Saccharomyces cerevisiae S288C: one gene and its partners. The protein of the gene in region 3 binds, or shares a complex with, the protein of the main gene of each other region. Each region holds a gene or a part of one and is shown on either strand. Other genes may lie near its edges. A codon is read from its position in the direction of its gene.

What was found.
Region 1: the proteins of RPN11 (region 3) and RPN5 are in contact, whole or in part, in a cryo-EM structure (PDB 3JCK), measured with the Saccharomyces cerevisiae proteins. Residues at the interface, in NP_116659.1 of Saccharomyces cerevisiae: Pro46 (codon at 1,925), Met47 (codon at 1,928), Glu48 (codon at 1,931), Gln73 (codon at 2,006), Ser74 (codon at 2,009), Gly75 (codon at 2,012), Thr76 (codon at 2,015), Gly77 (codon at 2,018), His111 (codon at 2,120), Phe114 (codon at 2,129), Trp117 (codon at 2,138), Ser119 (codon at 2,144), Asp122 (codon at 2,153), Lys148 (codon at 2,231), Gly149 (codon at 2,234), Gln186 (codon at 2,345), Ile189 (codon at 2,354), Trp221 (codon at 2,450), Gln222 (codon at 2,453), Leu225 (codon at 2,462), Lys226 (codon at 2,465), Met227 (codon at 2,468), Asp229 (codon at 2,474), Tyr230 (codon at 2,477), Glu231 (codon at 2,480), Ala298 (codon at 2,681), Asn301 (codon at 2,690), Ser302 (codon at 2,693), Ile305 (codon at 2,702); in NP_010134.1 of Saccharomyces cerevisiae: Gln242 (codon at 3,068), Tyr273 (codon at 3,161), Gly274 (codon at 3,164), Asn275 (codon at 3,167), Leu276 (codon at 3,170), Asn278 (codon at 3,176), Asp279 (codon at 3,179), Leu280 (codon at 3,182), His282 (codon at 3,188), Lys283 (codon at 3,191), Asn385 (codon at 3,497), Gly387 (codon at 3,503), Ser409 (codon at 3,569), Leu412 (codon at 3,578), Asn413 (codon at 3,581), Trp415 (codon at 3,587), Ser416 (codon at 3,590), His417 (codon at 3,593), Asp420 (codon at 3,602), Glu421 (codon at 3,605), Leu422 (codon at 3,608), Leu423 (codon at 3,611), Glu424 (codon at 3,614), Glu427 (codon at 3,623).
Region 2: the proteins of RPN11 (region 3) and RPN2 are in contact, whole or in part, in a cryo-EM structure (PDB 5MPE), measured with the Saccharomyces cerevisiae proteins. Residues at the interface, in NP_116659.1 of Saccharomyces cerevisiae: Thr18 (codon at 1,841), Gly19 (codon at 1,844), Arg20 (codon at 1,847), Asp21 (codon at 1,850), Val58 (codon at 1,961), Asp59 (codon at 1,964), Tyr61 (codon at 1,970), Asn167 (codon at 2,288), Leu168 (codon at 2,291), Pro170 (codon at 2,297), Arg171 (codon at 2,300), Thr173 (codon at 2,306), Thr174 (codon at 2,309), Ser175 (codon at 2,312), Asn176 (codon at 2,315), Thr177 (codon at 2,318), Leu179 (codon at 2,324), Lys182 (codon at 2,333); in NP_012190.1 of Saccharomyces cerevisiae: Lys324 (codon at 3,411), Phe325 (codon at 3,414), Ser326 (codon at 3,417), Leu327 (codon at 3,420), Gln360 (codon at 3,519), Asn361 (codon at 3,522), Trp362 (codon at 3,525), Arg398 (codon at 3,633), Phe399 (codon at 3,636), Glu437 (codon at 3,750), Ala475 (codon at 3,864), Gln509 (codon at 3,966), His510 (codon at 3,969), Gly511 (codon at 3,972), Asn512 (codon at 3,975), Phe651 (codon at 4,392), Glu692 (codon at 4,515), Leu694 (codon at 4,521), Trp740 (codon at 4,659), Trp742 (codon at 4,665), Phe743 (codon at 4,668).

Annotation. Positions count from the first base shown.
Region 1 is NC_001136.10:188,580-192,761, forward strand, and holds RPN5 (proteasome regulatory particle lid subunit RPN5), read left to right. Parts: upstream 1-2,344; coding exon 2,345-3,682; downstream 3,683-4,182. Other genes in the region: snoRNA-binding rRNA-processing protein NOP14, read right to left, coding at 1-2,007; LDB17 (Ldb17p), read left to right, coding at 4,171-4,182. UniProt on the Saccharomyces cerevisiae protein: Acts as a regulatory subunit of the 26S proteasome which is involved in the ATP-dependent degradation of ubiquitinated proteins.
Region 2 is NC_001141.2:217,363-223,141, reverse strand, and holds RPN2 (proteasome regulatory particle base subunit RPN2), read left to right. Parts: upstream 1-2,441; coding exon 2,442-5,279; downstream 5,280-5,779. Other genes in the region: SPO22 (Spo22p), read left to right, coding at 1-205; phosphoglycerate dehydrogenase SER33, read left to right, coding at 652-2,061; SEC28 (coatomer subunit epsilon), read right to left, coding at 5,594-5,779. UniProt on the Saccharomyces cerevisiae protein: Acts as a regulatory subunit of the 26S proteasome which is involved in the ATP-dependent degradation of ubiquitinated proteins.
Region 3 is NC_001138.5:151,604-155,999, forward strand, and holds RPN11 (proteasome regulatory particle lid subunit RPN11), read left to right. Parts: upstream 1-1,789; coding exon 1,790-2,710; downstream 2,711-4,396. Other genes in the region: linker nucleoporin NIC96, read left to right, coding at 1-932; type 1 protein phosphatase-activating protein YPI1, read right to left, coding at 1,054-1,521; mRNA splicing protein SAD1, read right to left, coding at 2,924-4,270. UniProt on the Saccharomyces cerevisiae protein: Component of the lid subcomplex of the 26S proteasome, a multiprotein complex involved in the ATP-dependent degradation of ubiquitinated proteins.

The DNA of each region.
Region 1 (4,182 bases), on a different chromosome or scaffold from region 3:
ACTTAATAACTGCTGAATCGGTAAAATAATTTCATTGAAAGCAGGTAAGCTCTTCCACACAGTAGAGATAGTTGCATCTAAAGATTCCATAACATTTAGTAAAACGGAGACACATTGATCAACCGGATGTGCCTCGGTATCCATTGTTGACAAGGTATGTAATGGAATAATAGTTGATCTCTTTTTTGTAAAGTCAACGTCCAATGGAAGCCCCAACTCGTAAGAGTCTAGTCTAATATTTTCAAAATCTAATGGTTTTTCTTGATTTTCTTTCTCAACTATAAAAGTGAGTAATATTTTTTGAAAGAAGTAAACCACCTCCGGTATGTACCGTTTGGAAATGCGTTGATATTGTGAAACAATCCTTACCAAGACAGCGCCAAAAGCTATCCTCTTTAAAGAATTAAACTTGATTTGTTCCAGGAACTGGCTCATTAAAATCAATGCTGGAGTTATTACTAAATGGTACTGGTCCGAGGTGGAGAAAAGAATACCAATAATGGAAAAAAATACCAGATCACCATTTGATAGAGCATCAAAATGGTTCTTTTTATAGCGTGCTTGCATTTCATTGATATAATCTCTACACTCCTCGGAAAGCTCTCTATTATATTTCTCTGAAAGGGATTTTAGAATTGAGATCAATGCATTTTGTGTACGTTTAAAACTTTGAACGTTTTTAAGGTAGTTTTGATTGCTTAGAAAAATGATGTGTCTCAGTAAAACAGCGGTGAATTTTCCTAACTTTTCCTTATTACCTTCAGCCAATTTTGGTTGGTAAGCTTTGATAATATTCTTAACAATCTTAGGATGATCATCTAAGTCTAATTTTTTTACTTGATCTAATAACGCATCATGAGTTCTAGGGCATGAAATGGAAATGTTCTTTTTCTTTAAAATTTGAGAAAACCCTTCATCTCTGCCTTGATCTTCAAATTTGATATCATCATCAGAATCAGCAATACCGTCATTATCGTCTTCATAGTCTTCTTCATTTTCCCAGAATCCATCATCCAAATCCTCTACTCCTCTTTCTTCGCCTTCTTCTAATTCAATCATACCGTTCATACGATCAAGACGCTGTTGTTCCAACTCCCGTTTTTTTTCTTCAGCTTCAGCGTTTTTCTCCTCTTCAGTTTTAGTTCTATCAGAGGGTGCAGCTCTTTTGTCCAATTGTAGTTCTTTCACTTTGATATCATACTCCTTATCTAGATCGGTCTTAGGTTCCATTGGATTCTTCTTGGGTTGCGTCATCATCAATTCAGACATAACATCCTCGAAATTATCATCCAGATTATCTATTTGATCTTCCATTATACCTTGAGCCTTTTGTCTTTCTTGTTTGTAAAATTTTGATTTGGCAATGACCTCTTTCATGACTTCAGCTTTGGTTTTTTTTCTTTGAGGTTGCTGTAGCTCAGCATCATCTTCATTGAATCGTTTGGAAGCTAAAAAATCCTCTTCATCATTGGCAAGCTCATCTTCTAGGGACAGCGATTGACCTAAATGTGTAAGACCGTCTCCAAACATGTCACCGTCGTCTTCATCGTCTTCAAGATTGAATAAATTTGCGTTTCTCTTTGATTGGCTTTGTCTTTCTCTGGTGAAACGTTCCAACATTTTTTCTTCTTCCGTCAACAACTTGTCTCTTTCACCAAATCTCTTATCGATCACACCACCACGTTTATTCTTCATCATTTTTCTTGCTTCAAATGCACGCTTTCTTTGTTCTTCACCGATCTGTTTAGAGATACCAGGCTTACCCACAGCAATACGATCAGCAGTTTTAGAAGGCAGACCATCTCTCCTCTTATTCCTTGCAGCCTTTATTTCAAACGGATTAAACTCTTCTCTGATTTCAGCAATGGCCTTTTTTTTTTCTTCACGATCATACTCCTTCGCTTGTCTTTTGGAATTCTTTTTATTCTTACTTTTGACGTTTGTTTGACCTGTGAGTCCACGGGCCTTCAAGGCGGCCTTTAAATTCTTAAGTTGTGAACCGGCCATGTATTTGATCTTCCCTTTTATTTGCTTCTCAACTGTACTATTTACAGTAATAATTAGTGCAACCTTCAGATGCTTCTCGCTAAATGCTCATCTCTAAATTATCATTATTATTCCTAATAAATCCTAAAATTTTTCACTCGTTCTGTACGGCTCATCGCCCCAATATTACCCGTCTTGTATGTGATCTTTTTGACTTTTCGGTGGCAAAATGCAAAGGGGAATCCAAGGAAAAACCATAACAGGACACTACATCAGAGATAATCTTGAATTAAGAGAGTAGAGGAATATACTGCTGGGCTCACTACCATTTTTGTTGCTAGAGTAAACGTAGAGAAAGATGTCAAGAGATGCACCAATTAAGGCTGACAAGGATTATAGCCAAATTTTGAAGGAAGAGTTTCCTAAGATCGATTCGCTCGCTCAAAATGATTGTAACTCTGCTTTAGACCAACTGTTAGTGTTGGAGAAGAAAACCAGACAAGCTTCAGATCTGGCCTCCTCGAAAGAAGTTTTGGCCAAGATTGTAGATCTGCTAGCATCAAGGAATAAGTGGGACGACCTAAATGAGCAATTGACTCTACTCTCAAAAAAGCATGGTCAGTTGAAATTGTCAATTCAGTATATGATACAAAAGGTTATGGAATATTTGAAAAGCTCGAAATCTTTGGATTTAAACACCAGAATTAGTGTCATTGAAACTATCAGGGTGGTTACAGAGAACAAAATATTTGTAGAAGTGGAAAGAGCTAGGGTCACCAAAGATTTGGTGGAAATTAAGAAAGAAGAGGGTAAGATTGATGAAGCTGCAGACATCTTGTGTGAGTTACAGGTTGAGACCTATGGCTCCATGGAAATGTCTGAGAAAATTCAGTTTATATTAGAGCAAATGGAATTGAGTATATTAAAAGGTGATTATTCCCAAGCCACGGTGCTTTCAAGAAAAATTCTGAAAAAAACTTTTAAAAATCCAAAATACGAGTCATTGAAGCTAGAATATTATAATCTTCTGGTAAAAATTAGTTTGCACAAGAGAGAATACCTAGAAGTTGCGCAGTATCTGCAAGAAATTTATCAAACAGACGCCATTAAATCAGATGAGGCTAAGTGGAAACCTGTTTTATCGCACATTGTATATTTCTTAGTCCTTTCACCTTACGGCAATTTACAAAATGATTTAATTCACAAAATCCAGAATGATAACAACCTGAAAAAATTAGAAAGCCAAGAATCTTTAGTAAAATTGTTTACTACGAATGAGTTGATGAGATGGCCAATTGTTCAAAAAACCTATGAGCCCGTCTTAAATGAGGATGATTTGGCATTTGGTGGAGAAGCTAATAAGCATCACTGGGAAGATTTACAAAAAAGGGTCATCGAGCACAATTTAAGAGTCATTTCCGAATACTATTCCAGAATTACTTTACTAAGATTGAATGAATTGCTGGACCTAACGGAGAGCCAGACGGAAACATACATCAGTGATTTGGTAAACCAGGGCATCATATACGCTAAAGTTAATCGCCCAGCCAAAATCGTGAATTTTGAAAAACCAAAAAACTCAAGCCAATTATTGAACGAATGGTCACATAATGTTGACGAACTATTAGAACATATAGAAACAATAGGCCATTTAATTACAAAAGAGGAAATCATGCACGGTTTGCAAGCTAAATGAAGAGATTTTCGAGTAAGTGTCGGATTATCTCAGATCCGGTTTTGATTTTAAATCTGTTACTAATCGAAATGTGTATTTACGTACGTGAGATAAAATTATCTATGCATATATATAACTCAAATGGAAAATGGCCACGTATTGCTCTCATTCTCTTCACTTGCTTACACAAAACATAAGGTGACAATTAATGGAATTTTAGTTTTTCAATTTTTCAGGGGAAAGAAGACACCCAAAAAAAAAGTGAAAAGTCAAAACGGTAAACTGTTTATGGTATTTAAATGACATTAATAGCAGCGTAAAGAGTCATTTTTTCGTTTGATTAGCAAAACTCTGAACATTAATTACTACACCTATAGACATATCTTTAAACAGTGAAATATTTTTTTCATTTAGTAAACAAGAATTAAACTTTGAATATTTTTTTTTCGATTAACTTATGTCACTTTAGCCTATACTTTCTTCGAACATTTTTCCTTTCATTTTGACTCATGATATTAGAT
Region 2 (5,779 bases), on a different chromosome or scaffold from region 3:
AGAGTTAGAAACTATAGCCACTTACTGTTGGAATATCGGCGTCAATTACATAATCAAAGACAACAAAAGCAATGGAATTGTTTGGTGTAAACATTCAATGGGGTTCGCAAACATGGTTAATGAAGGCTTGCAGGAGCAATTGTACTCTTTATGGGAGTCTTTAGCAAGTTCGGCAAATATCGATATCAATAGTATTGCTAAATAAACCTTTTTTATTCCATTTACTGTCGTTTATACTGGCTGACCCTTAATTCCCTAGCAATCTTTGCCTGCACCCGTACCAGGAAGCGTGATAGAATCGGTAGCTACAAAATTTTTAGCATAGTTAATAAGTGCTATTGTTTTTCATAATGTCACGTGCACTATCAATAATATTACACTCTTGTTCTTGCCAAATATACACAAAATGCCACATTTTTTTCTTTACACCGAAGAATTTGGCCGTCAGCCGGACAGCGCTCAGATTAATTGTGGGCTAGATTCTTCACGCTGGAAACGAGTCACCGTTATGAAAACTAATGGAATCTCCCAGGTTTAATACATAAGAAGGTTACGAGCTACTACATTAAAAAATACTTTGTCTGTTTTAGCTGTAGATTATTGTAACATTAAAAAGTAACAAACACTGATTTCGGGTATTTCCTCCCTAACATGTCTTATTCAGCTGCCGATAATTTACAAGATTCATTCCAACGTGCCATGAACTTTTCTGGCTCTCCTGGTGCAGTCTCAACCTCACCAACTCAGTCATTTATGAACACACTACCTCGTCGTGTAAGCATTACAAAGCAACCAAAGGCTTTAAAACCTTTTTCTACTGGTGACATGAATATTCTACTGTTGGAAAATGTCAATGCAACTGCAATCAAAATCTTCAAGGATCAGGGTTACCAAGTAGAGTTCCACAAGTCTTCTCTACCTGAGGATGAATTGATTGAAAAAATCAAAGACGTACACGCTATCGGTATAAGATCCAAAACTAGATTGACTGAAAAAATACTACAGCATGCCAGGAATCTAGTTTGTATTGGTTGTTTTTGCATAGGTACCAATCAAGTAGACCTAAAATATGCCGCTAGTAAAGGTATTGCTGTTTTCAATTCGCCATTCTCCAATTCAAGATCCGTAGCAGAATTGGTAATTGGTGAGATCATTAGTTTAGCAAGACAATTAGGTGATAGATCCATTGAACTGCATACAGGTACATGGAATAAAGTCGCTGCTAGGTGTTGGGAAGTAAGAGGAAAAACTCTCGGTATTATTGGGTATGGTCACATTGGTTCGCAATTATCAGTTCTTGCAGAAGCTATGGGCCTGCATGTGCTATACTATGATATCGTGACAATTATGGCCTTAGGTACTGCCAGACAAGTTTCTACATTAGATGAATTGTTGAATAAATCTGATTTTGTAACACTACATGTACCAGCTACTCCAGAAACTGAAAAAATGTTATCTGCTCCACAATTCGCTGCTATGAAGGACGGGGCTTATGTTATTAATGCCTCAAGAGGTACTGTCGTGGACATTCCATCTCTGATCCAAGCCGTCAAGGCCAACAAAATTGCAGGTGCTGCTTTAGATGTTTATCCACATGAACCAGCTAAGAACGGTGAAGGTTCATTTAACGATGAACTTAACAGCTGGACTTCTGAGTTGGTTTCATTACCAAATATAATCCTGACACCACATATTGGTGGCTCTACAGAAGAAGCTCAAAGTTCAATCGGTATTGAGGTGGCTACTGCATTGTCCAAATACATCAATGAAGGTAACTCTGTCGGTTCTGTGAACTTCCCAGAAGTCAGTTTGAAGTCTTTGGACTACGATCAAGAGAACACAGTACGTGTCTTGTATATTCATCGTAACGTTCCTGGTGTTTTGAAGACCGTTAATGATATCTTATCCGATCATAATATCGAGAAACAGTTTTCTGATTCTCACGGCGAGATCGCTTATCTAATGGCAGACATCTCTTCTGTTAATCAAAGTGAAATCAAGGATATATATGAAAAGTTGAACCAAACTTCTGCCAAAGTTTCCATCAGGTTATTATACTAATTACTCAGATAAATAAAAATATATGTATAGATTTAAAATCCTCCCCTATCTTCATAGTATGTAAGATATGTTGAAACGGAATCGAGTAAAAAAATAGCCTTTGATTGCCCATTAAACTCCACAAAGTGCTGTCTCACGATTCATGGACGATAATCTGTCGAGCTTTTTCGATCTGCCTCTTATTGCCATTATTTCGAGGGTTTAGTGCGGGTAATAGCATATTGCTTTTCAATAGGAGAAGGGCGCATTTCATTTATTTTCGGTGGCAAAACTGGATACATAAAAGTATAATGCTTTGAATCCAAGGGAAAAAAAATTGTGGAACTCTATCCAGTAAAAGACCACCCAGAATAGATTGAGTTCAAATATAACCGGAAAAGATGTCTTTGACGACTGCTGCTCCTCTTTTAGCATTGTTGAGAGAGAATCAAGATTCTGTTAAAACATATGCCCTAGAATCTATAAATAATGTTGTGGACCAATTATGGTCTGAGATCTCGAATGAACTGCCGGATATTGAGGCATTGTATGATGACGATACCTTTTCAGACCGTGAAATGGCTGCTTTGATTGCATCCAAAGTTTATTACAATCTTGGTGAATACGAATCGGCTGTGAAGTATGCACTTGCCGCAAAGGATCGTTTTGATATAGACGAAAAGTCACAATTTGTTGAAACTATAGTCTCAAAGAGTATTGAGATGTACGTCCAAGAGGCTTCCAAGCAATACACTAAGGACGAACAATTTTACACCAAGGATATTATTGACCCAAAATTAACCTCTATTTTTGAGCGAATGATAGAAAAATGTTTGAAAGCTTCAGAATTAAAATTAGCTTTAGGAATTGCCTTAGAAGGTTACAGATTGGATATCATTGAAAGTGCTTTAAAGAGCAAATTGGATCAGGATTCCACTTCTGAAAACGTTAAAATTATTAACTACTTATTGACCTTAGCTATAACTACTGTGACAAATTCCAAGTTCAGATCCTCGATATTGAGAAAATCATTTGATTTCCTAATGAATATGCCTAACTGCGATTACTTAACGCTCAATAAAGTAGTTGTAAATTTGAATGACGCCGGATTGGCACTTCAGCTATTTAAAAAATTAAAGGAAGAGAACGATGAAGGATTATCTGCTCAAATTGCATTTGATTTGGTTTCGTCTGCGTCTCAGCAGTTGCTTGAGATTTTAGTAACCGAACTAACTGCCCAGGGTTACGATCCTGCCTTATTGAATATTCTATCTGGGCTACCGACTTGTGATTATTACAATACCTTCCTTTTGAATAATAAAAACATTGACATCGGTCTTTTAAACAAGTCTAAATCATCTTTGGATGGGAAATTTTCTTTGTTCCACACCGCAGTCAGCGTTGCCAACGGTTTTATGCACGCTGGTACTACCGACAATTCATTTATCAAGGCGAACTTGCCATGGTTAGGTAAGGCTCAAAATTGGGCTAAATTTACAGCTACAGCCTCTTTAGGTGTAATTCATAAAGGCAATTTATTGGAGGGTAAAAAAGTCATGGCCCCTTACTTGCCAGGCAGTCGAGCTTCTTCTAGGTTTATCAAAGGTGGTTCATTGTATGGTTTGGGTTTAATTTATGCTGGCTTTGGTCGTGATACAACTGACTATCTGAAAAACATAATAGTTGAGAATAGCGGAACTTCAGGCGATGAAGACGTAGATGTATTGTTACATGGTGCTTCACTGGGTATCGGTCTTGCTGCTATGGGTTCTGCTAATATTGAAGTTTATGAAGCCTTAAAGGAAGTTCTGTACAACGATTCTGCCACATCTGGAGAAGCAGCTGCATTAGGTATGGGTCTCTGTATGCTCGGAACAGGTAAGCCTGAAGCGATTCACGATATGTTTACATATTCCCAAGAAACGCAGCATGGCAATATTACTCGTGGTCTAGCCGTTGGTTTAGCACTGATAAATTACGGCCGTCAAGAGTTAGCTGATGATTTAATTACTAAGATGTTAGCAAGTGATGAGTCCTTGTTACGCTATGGAGGTGCATTCACAATCGCGTTAGCGTATGCGGGTACGGGAAATAATTCAGCTGTCAAGAGATTACTGCATGTGGCAGTCTCGGATTCTAACGATGATGTCAGAAGGGCAGCAGTCATCGCATTAGGGTTTGTTCTCTTGCGTGATTATACCACTGTACCAAGGATTGTCCAACTTCTATCTAAATCGCATAACGCTCATGTCAGATGTGGTACCGCATTTGCTCTTGGGATTGCTTGTGCCGGCAAGGGTTTACAATCAGCTATTGACGTTTTAGATCCGCTAACAAAGGACCCAGTAGATTTTGTTCGTCAGGCTGCCATGATAGCTTTATCCATGATTTTGATTCAACAAACAGAAAAACTAAACCCTCAAGTTGCTGATATTAACAAAAATTTTTTGAGCGTGATTACAAACAAACACCAAGAAGGTTTAGCCAAATTCGGTGCATGTGTGGCCCAAGGTATAATGAATGCCGGTGGGCGTAATGTTACAATTCAGCTGGAAAATGCGGATACAGGCACATTGGATACCAAGTCCGTAGTTGGTTTGGTCATGTTCTCACAATTCTGGTACTGGTTCCCACTGGCTCACTTTTTATCCCTTTCTTTTACACCAACAACTGTCATTGGTATTCGTGGTAGCGATCAAGCTATACCCAAATTTCAAATGAATTGTTACGCTAAAGAAGATGCATTCAGTTATCCGAGGATGTATGAGGAAGCAAGTGGTAAGGAGGTAGAGAAGGTAGCAACAGCTGTTCTTTCCACGACAGCAAGAGCAAAAGCAAGGGCAAAGAAGACAAAGAAGGAAAAGGGTCCAAATGAGGAAGAAAAGAAAAAAGAGCATGAGGAAAAAGAAAAGGAAAGAGAGACGAATAAAAAAGGCATAAAAGAAACAAAAGAAAACGACGAAGAATTTTACAAAAATAAGTACTCTTCTAAACCTTATAAAGTCGACAATATGACCCGTATACTACCACAACAATCGAGATATATTTCCTTTATTAAGGACGACAGATTTGTTCCTGTACGTAAATTCAAAGGAAATAACGGTGTGGTGGTTTTAAGAGATAGGGAACCCAAGGAACCTGTAGCACTAATTGAAACTGTTAGGCAAATGAAAGATGTTAACGCTCCACTTCCAACCCCATTTAAGGTCGATGATAATGTCGACTTCCCTAGTGCTTAGATCAAGGGTGCATGGTCGTACAGAAAATGAAGAATTAGTTCAAAATGCCAGAAAATAAATAATAGTGTACATACTTTTAAAAAAAAATCATTGAATTATTCTGCCAGGATTAGCTACTTTACGCATAATTCTAACGTGACAAATGTTGTTTCCGCTTTGTTAATTATACTTTATATGATTTTGTTCAAGCCATGTCAACCTCATTTATGGTACCATCTTATTCGGCTTTATCAAAATAGTATATAGGCATATACATGAAATATTTTTTTCTTTTTCTAAAAAACCTACATGTTTAATGTGAGATATTACGTAAATCAGTTGGACGTATCATATTTCCTCACTAATTCATCGAATTTTGCGTCAATTTCTTGGTGATGCTTGATGAATGCATGTTCGTGATCCAATTTAACCAATTGATTTGTTAAATCTTCAGTATCAAGACCTTGCATAAGAGCAAGCGTAATTTGGTTTGCTAAGAAAGTAGGTTTGTACAATACGGC
Region 3 (4,396 bases):
GGGATATCAGGTTCGCAAACATACTAGCTAATTATACCAAGTCCTTTAGGTATTCAGATCCTAGAGTTGCTGTCGAATATTTGGTTTTAATAACTCTAAATGAAGGACCTACCGATGTCGAGTTATGCCATGAGGCGTTGAGGGAGCTAGTATTGGAAACTAAGGAATTTACTGTTCTTTTGGGTAAAATTGGACGCGATGGAGCTAGAATTCCGGGGGTGATCGAAGAAAGACAACCTTTATTACACGTTCGTGATGAAAAGGAGTTTTTGCATACAATTACAGAACAAGCAGCAAGAAGGGCAGACGAAGACGGCAGAATATATGATAGTATATTACTGTACCAGCTTGCTGAAGAATATGACATAGTTATTACCCTCGTCAATAGTTTATTAAGTGATACACTTAGTGCGTCAGATTTAGATCAACCATTGGTTGGACCTGATGACAATAGCGAGACGAATCCTGTCTTGTTGGCTAGGAGGATGGCGTCCATATATTTTGATAATGCTGGTATATCGAGACAGATTCATGTTAAAAACAAAGAAATTTGTATGCTGCTCTTAAATATCTCCTCTATCAGGGAGCTATATTTCAATAAACAATGGCAAGAAACACTATCCCAAATGGAGTTATTGGATTTACTTCCTTTCTCAGACGAGCTATCTGCTAGAAAGAAAGCACAAGATTTCTCTAATTTAGATGACAACATTGTGAAAAATATTCCAAATTTGTTGATTATCACTCTAAGCTGTATATCGAACATGATTCATATCTTGAACGAAAGTAAGTATCAATCGTCCACAAAAGGTCAACAAATTGATTCCTTAAAAAATGTTGCGAGACAATGTATGATTTATGCTGGTATGATTCAATACAGAATGCCAAGGGAAACGTACAGCACTTTAATTAATATAGACGTCTCTCTATGATTTTTTTAAATATTGTATATTTTTGTTTATATCTATATATCAGTATGCGCGCATACTTAGTAAAAGTATAAAAAGCCATTTGCTGCTTCATCGAATATTTTGGCTTTCGTTGTACAAAGCCTCAGTCCTTCTTTTCCTGCTGTTTTCGCCTGTATTCAGAATAATCTGGTTGGATTTCATAAGCATTGGGGCTATATGACCTTTTTTTCTCAAGTTTACGATGGCGCCTTTCCAATCTTCTTTGTCTACGTTCGTTAAAGTCAAGATCCTTCTCATTCTCAGATTCTGAAGAAGAGGATCCGGAAGAAGAGGATCCATCATCATCTGAATGATGGTTGCACTCTTCTTCATCCTCATTTTGTGGATGAAAAATGCAGCATATCTTGGTCTTTTTTTTATTCATGTTTTCATTGTCAATCACATTTTCTTCCCATCTTACATTGTGCCTTGTAGGCATTGCCTCCTGGCTTCTTGGAGGATCTTGAGTTGCTCGAAGCTGCAAAACTGCGGGAACCTCTTCCACACTCACCGTTCGGGACCCTACGGTCTGTTGTTGTTCTGATCCCATAGCCATTTGATTTCCACTCATCCTTATAGACTTAATTGAAGACTTAGCTCGCAACTCCTGGCAGTTATAAGCTCTTGGGACCCTTGACTCGAATTGTTTCTAAATGATAAATACGGCCCCTTGTTTATACTGAAACGCACGTCGCTGATGATTTCGGACCTCCAAGGTGGCAAATTCACAAGAAAAGCCTTTAAGCTAAGAAACGGTTTATGACCAGTATTAATATTGAGAAAGAAAAATAGCAGGTGATAACACAATTAAGAGGACTTAACAAGAAAGACGAGACATAATGGAACGACTACAGAGATTGATGATGAATAGTAAGGTGGGGTCCGCGGACACCGGCCGTGACGATACGAAAGAAACTGTTTATATTTCTTCGATTGCGCTTTTAAAGATGCTAAAGCATGGTAGAGCTGGTGTTCCCATGGAAGTCATGGGGTTGATGTTAGGTGAGTTTGTCGATGATTATACGGTTAACGTTGTGGACGTGTTTGCGATGCCTCAATCGGGTACCGGAGTTTCTGTTGAGGCTGTCGATGATGTTTTCCAAGCGAAGATGATGGACATGTTAAAACAAACGGGCAGAGACCAAATGGTCGTTGGCTGGTACCACTCTCATCCAGGGTTTGGCTGTTGGCTATCTTCTGTTGATGTTAATACTCAAAAATCTTTTGAACAACTAAACAGCAGAGCTGTTGCTGTCGTTGTTGACCCTATTCAATCCGTTAAGGGAAAAGTTGTCATCGATGCTTTTAGATTGATTGACACGGGCGCATTGATAAATAACTTAGAGCCTAGACAAACAACCTCCAACACAGGCTTATTGAACAAGGCCAACATTCAAGCCTTAATTCACGGTCTGAATAGGCATTACTATTCTTTAAATATTGATTATCATAAAACCGCGAAGGAAACCAAGATGTTAATGAACTTACATAAAGAACAGTGGCAATCAGGTCTTAAGATGTACGATTATGAAGAAAAAGAAGAATCAAATTTGGCTGCTACAAAGAGTATGGTTAAGATAGCCGAACAGTACTCTAAGAGAATAGAAGAGGAAAAGGAATTAACCGAAGAAGAACTTAAGACAAGATACGTTGGTAGGCAAGATCCAAAGAAGCACCTTTCCGAAACAGCAGATGAGACACTAGAGAACAATATTGTTTCTGTGCTGACGGCGGGTGTTAATTCAGTGGCAATTAAATAAACAAATTTTATAAAGTCATTATGCATTAAATAACTAGAAAGCCCACTACATATATATTATATTGTATTTTTCTAAAAATTCTAATGAAGTAGTTAATGGAATGAATGGGAAAGAGAAAACGCGTTAGGAGGGAAAAGGCTCCTTAAATAACAGTAAAAATGAAATGGCTACTGGTAGTCCCAGTGCCAATTTTTTTTTTTACTTTCTTTTCTTTCACTCTTGCTTTTCCCATACTTGTATAAACGTTTCCTTCAAAAATAAAAGCTCGGCTTCTCTCTCTGTCGTATTTATGCCATCTATTTCTATCCATTTTTCACTTTTGTTATCATACAGCTGAGTAATCCAATGGCTTTTTTCATCACCATTAAATGCGTTTCCATCTGTGGATGGTTGTTTAATGACCACATGGACCACATTTGCTTTTAAGCGATACTTGACGTGCAAAATTTCAAGTTCACTGGAAAATTCCACCAACGTTTGGTTTCTATTTTTGACAGGATGATCACTGTTACGGTCAAACCTATTGAAATGAAATATTAAAAACTGCGGTAATCGCGTTAGTTCAAAAACGGTGCTAGTAGAGGAGCTTCTTGACTTAGTAAATTTAGTCAATAATTTAGTGATATTTATTTGTGGGAGATCATCAACGCTGTTGCCATCTTCAAAGGGTGAAAACTCCGGCAAATCGAGAGTCAGAACCCAAAATGGTTTGACAATGACTTTTCCTGTAACAGACTCACTGGCCTCAGGCTTATTTTCAACTTTTGCTATCTTTACTTTGCCTTTACAAGAATGGTTTAAAATTGACTTTAAGTCGTTCGAGGACGAGCAAATTTTATTGAATAGCCACAAAAGGAAGAGACGCGGGTCTATAGGATTTAAATTTAAACCTTCTCTAACTTTCAAATAGGATACAAAATCGTCAACTGAAAGATGATGTTTGAATAGTTTAGGGGACCAAATTTTCTTTACACATATGGATAACCTTTTGATAAATTCCCCTTGATTATCAAAATGATTCAGTAGGAAGTGGTCCCGCACTGGAACCATGTGCGATATCAAAAGCAATACACTATGCGCATAGTCATAAGTTGCCGCATTGGTGAACCCTATAAATCCATTCAGATATGTGCGATTGCTCAAATCAAAACACTGTCTCGGAAAATCTTCTAGATCTTTTGGACAATAAGTCGGATAAGCTGCAAATTTTATGCTGTTCAACAATTGAACCTCACCGTCATGTAAAATTTGGACATTTTGCGGCAACATGTAAAACTTCAAACTTGTCAAATTCAAGAAGACGTGATGGTTTTCATCAATTGAATGTATGAAAGCAGGACTCTTTTCATGTCTCCCCTGATAATAATGTCCACACACGAGGCAACAATATACATTCAAAGGGGACAGAGTAATGCAGCAAATTTTCTCAGAATCGAAATCTAGTTTTTCTCTTACTACAGTCTCAAGATAGGCATAGTTTGGTTCCTGAGACTTTATCTTTTTTACTGCCTCCTGTTTTAACTCATCTTCTGAATGTCTCCTTTTGTTATCAACCTCCATTATAAACAGCGCTTTAGGTTAACGCCCACTAAATGATGAACCATGAAGAGCATGGTTAGATTGCTGCCAATTTTTTTTCCTATTTCGTCATTTTTTTATCAAGATTTTCCAGTTTTTTTTTTTTTT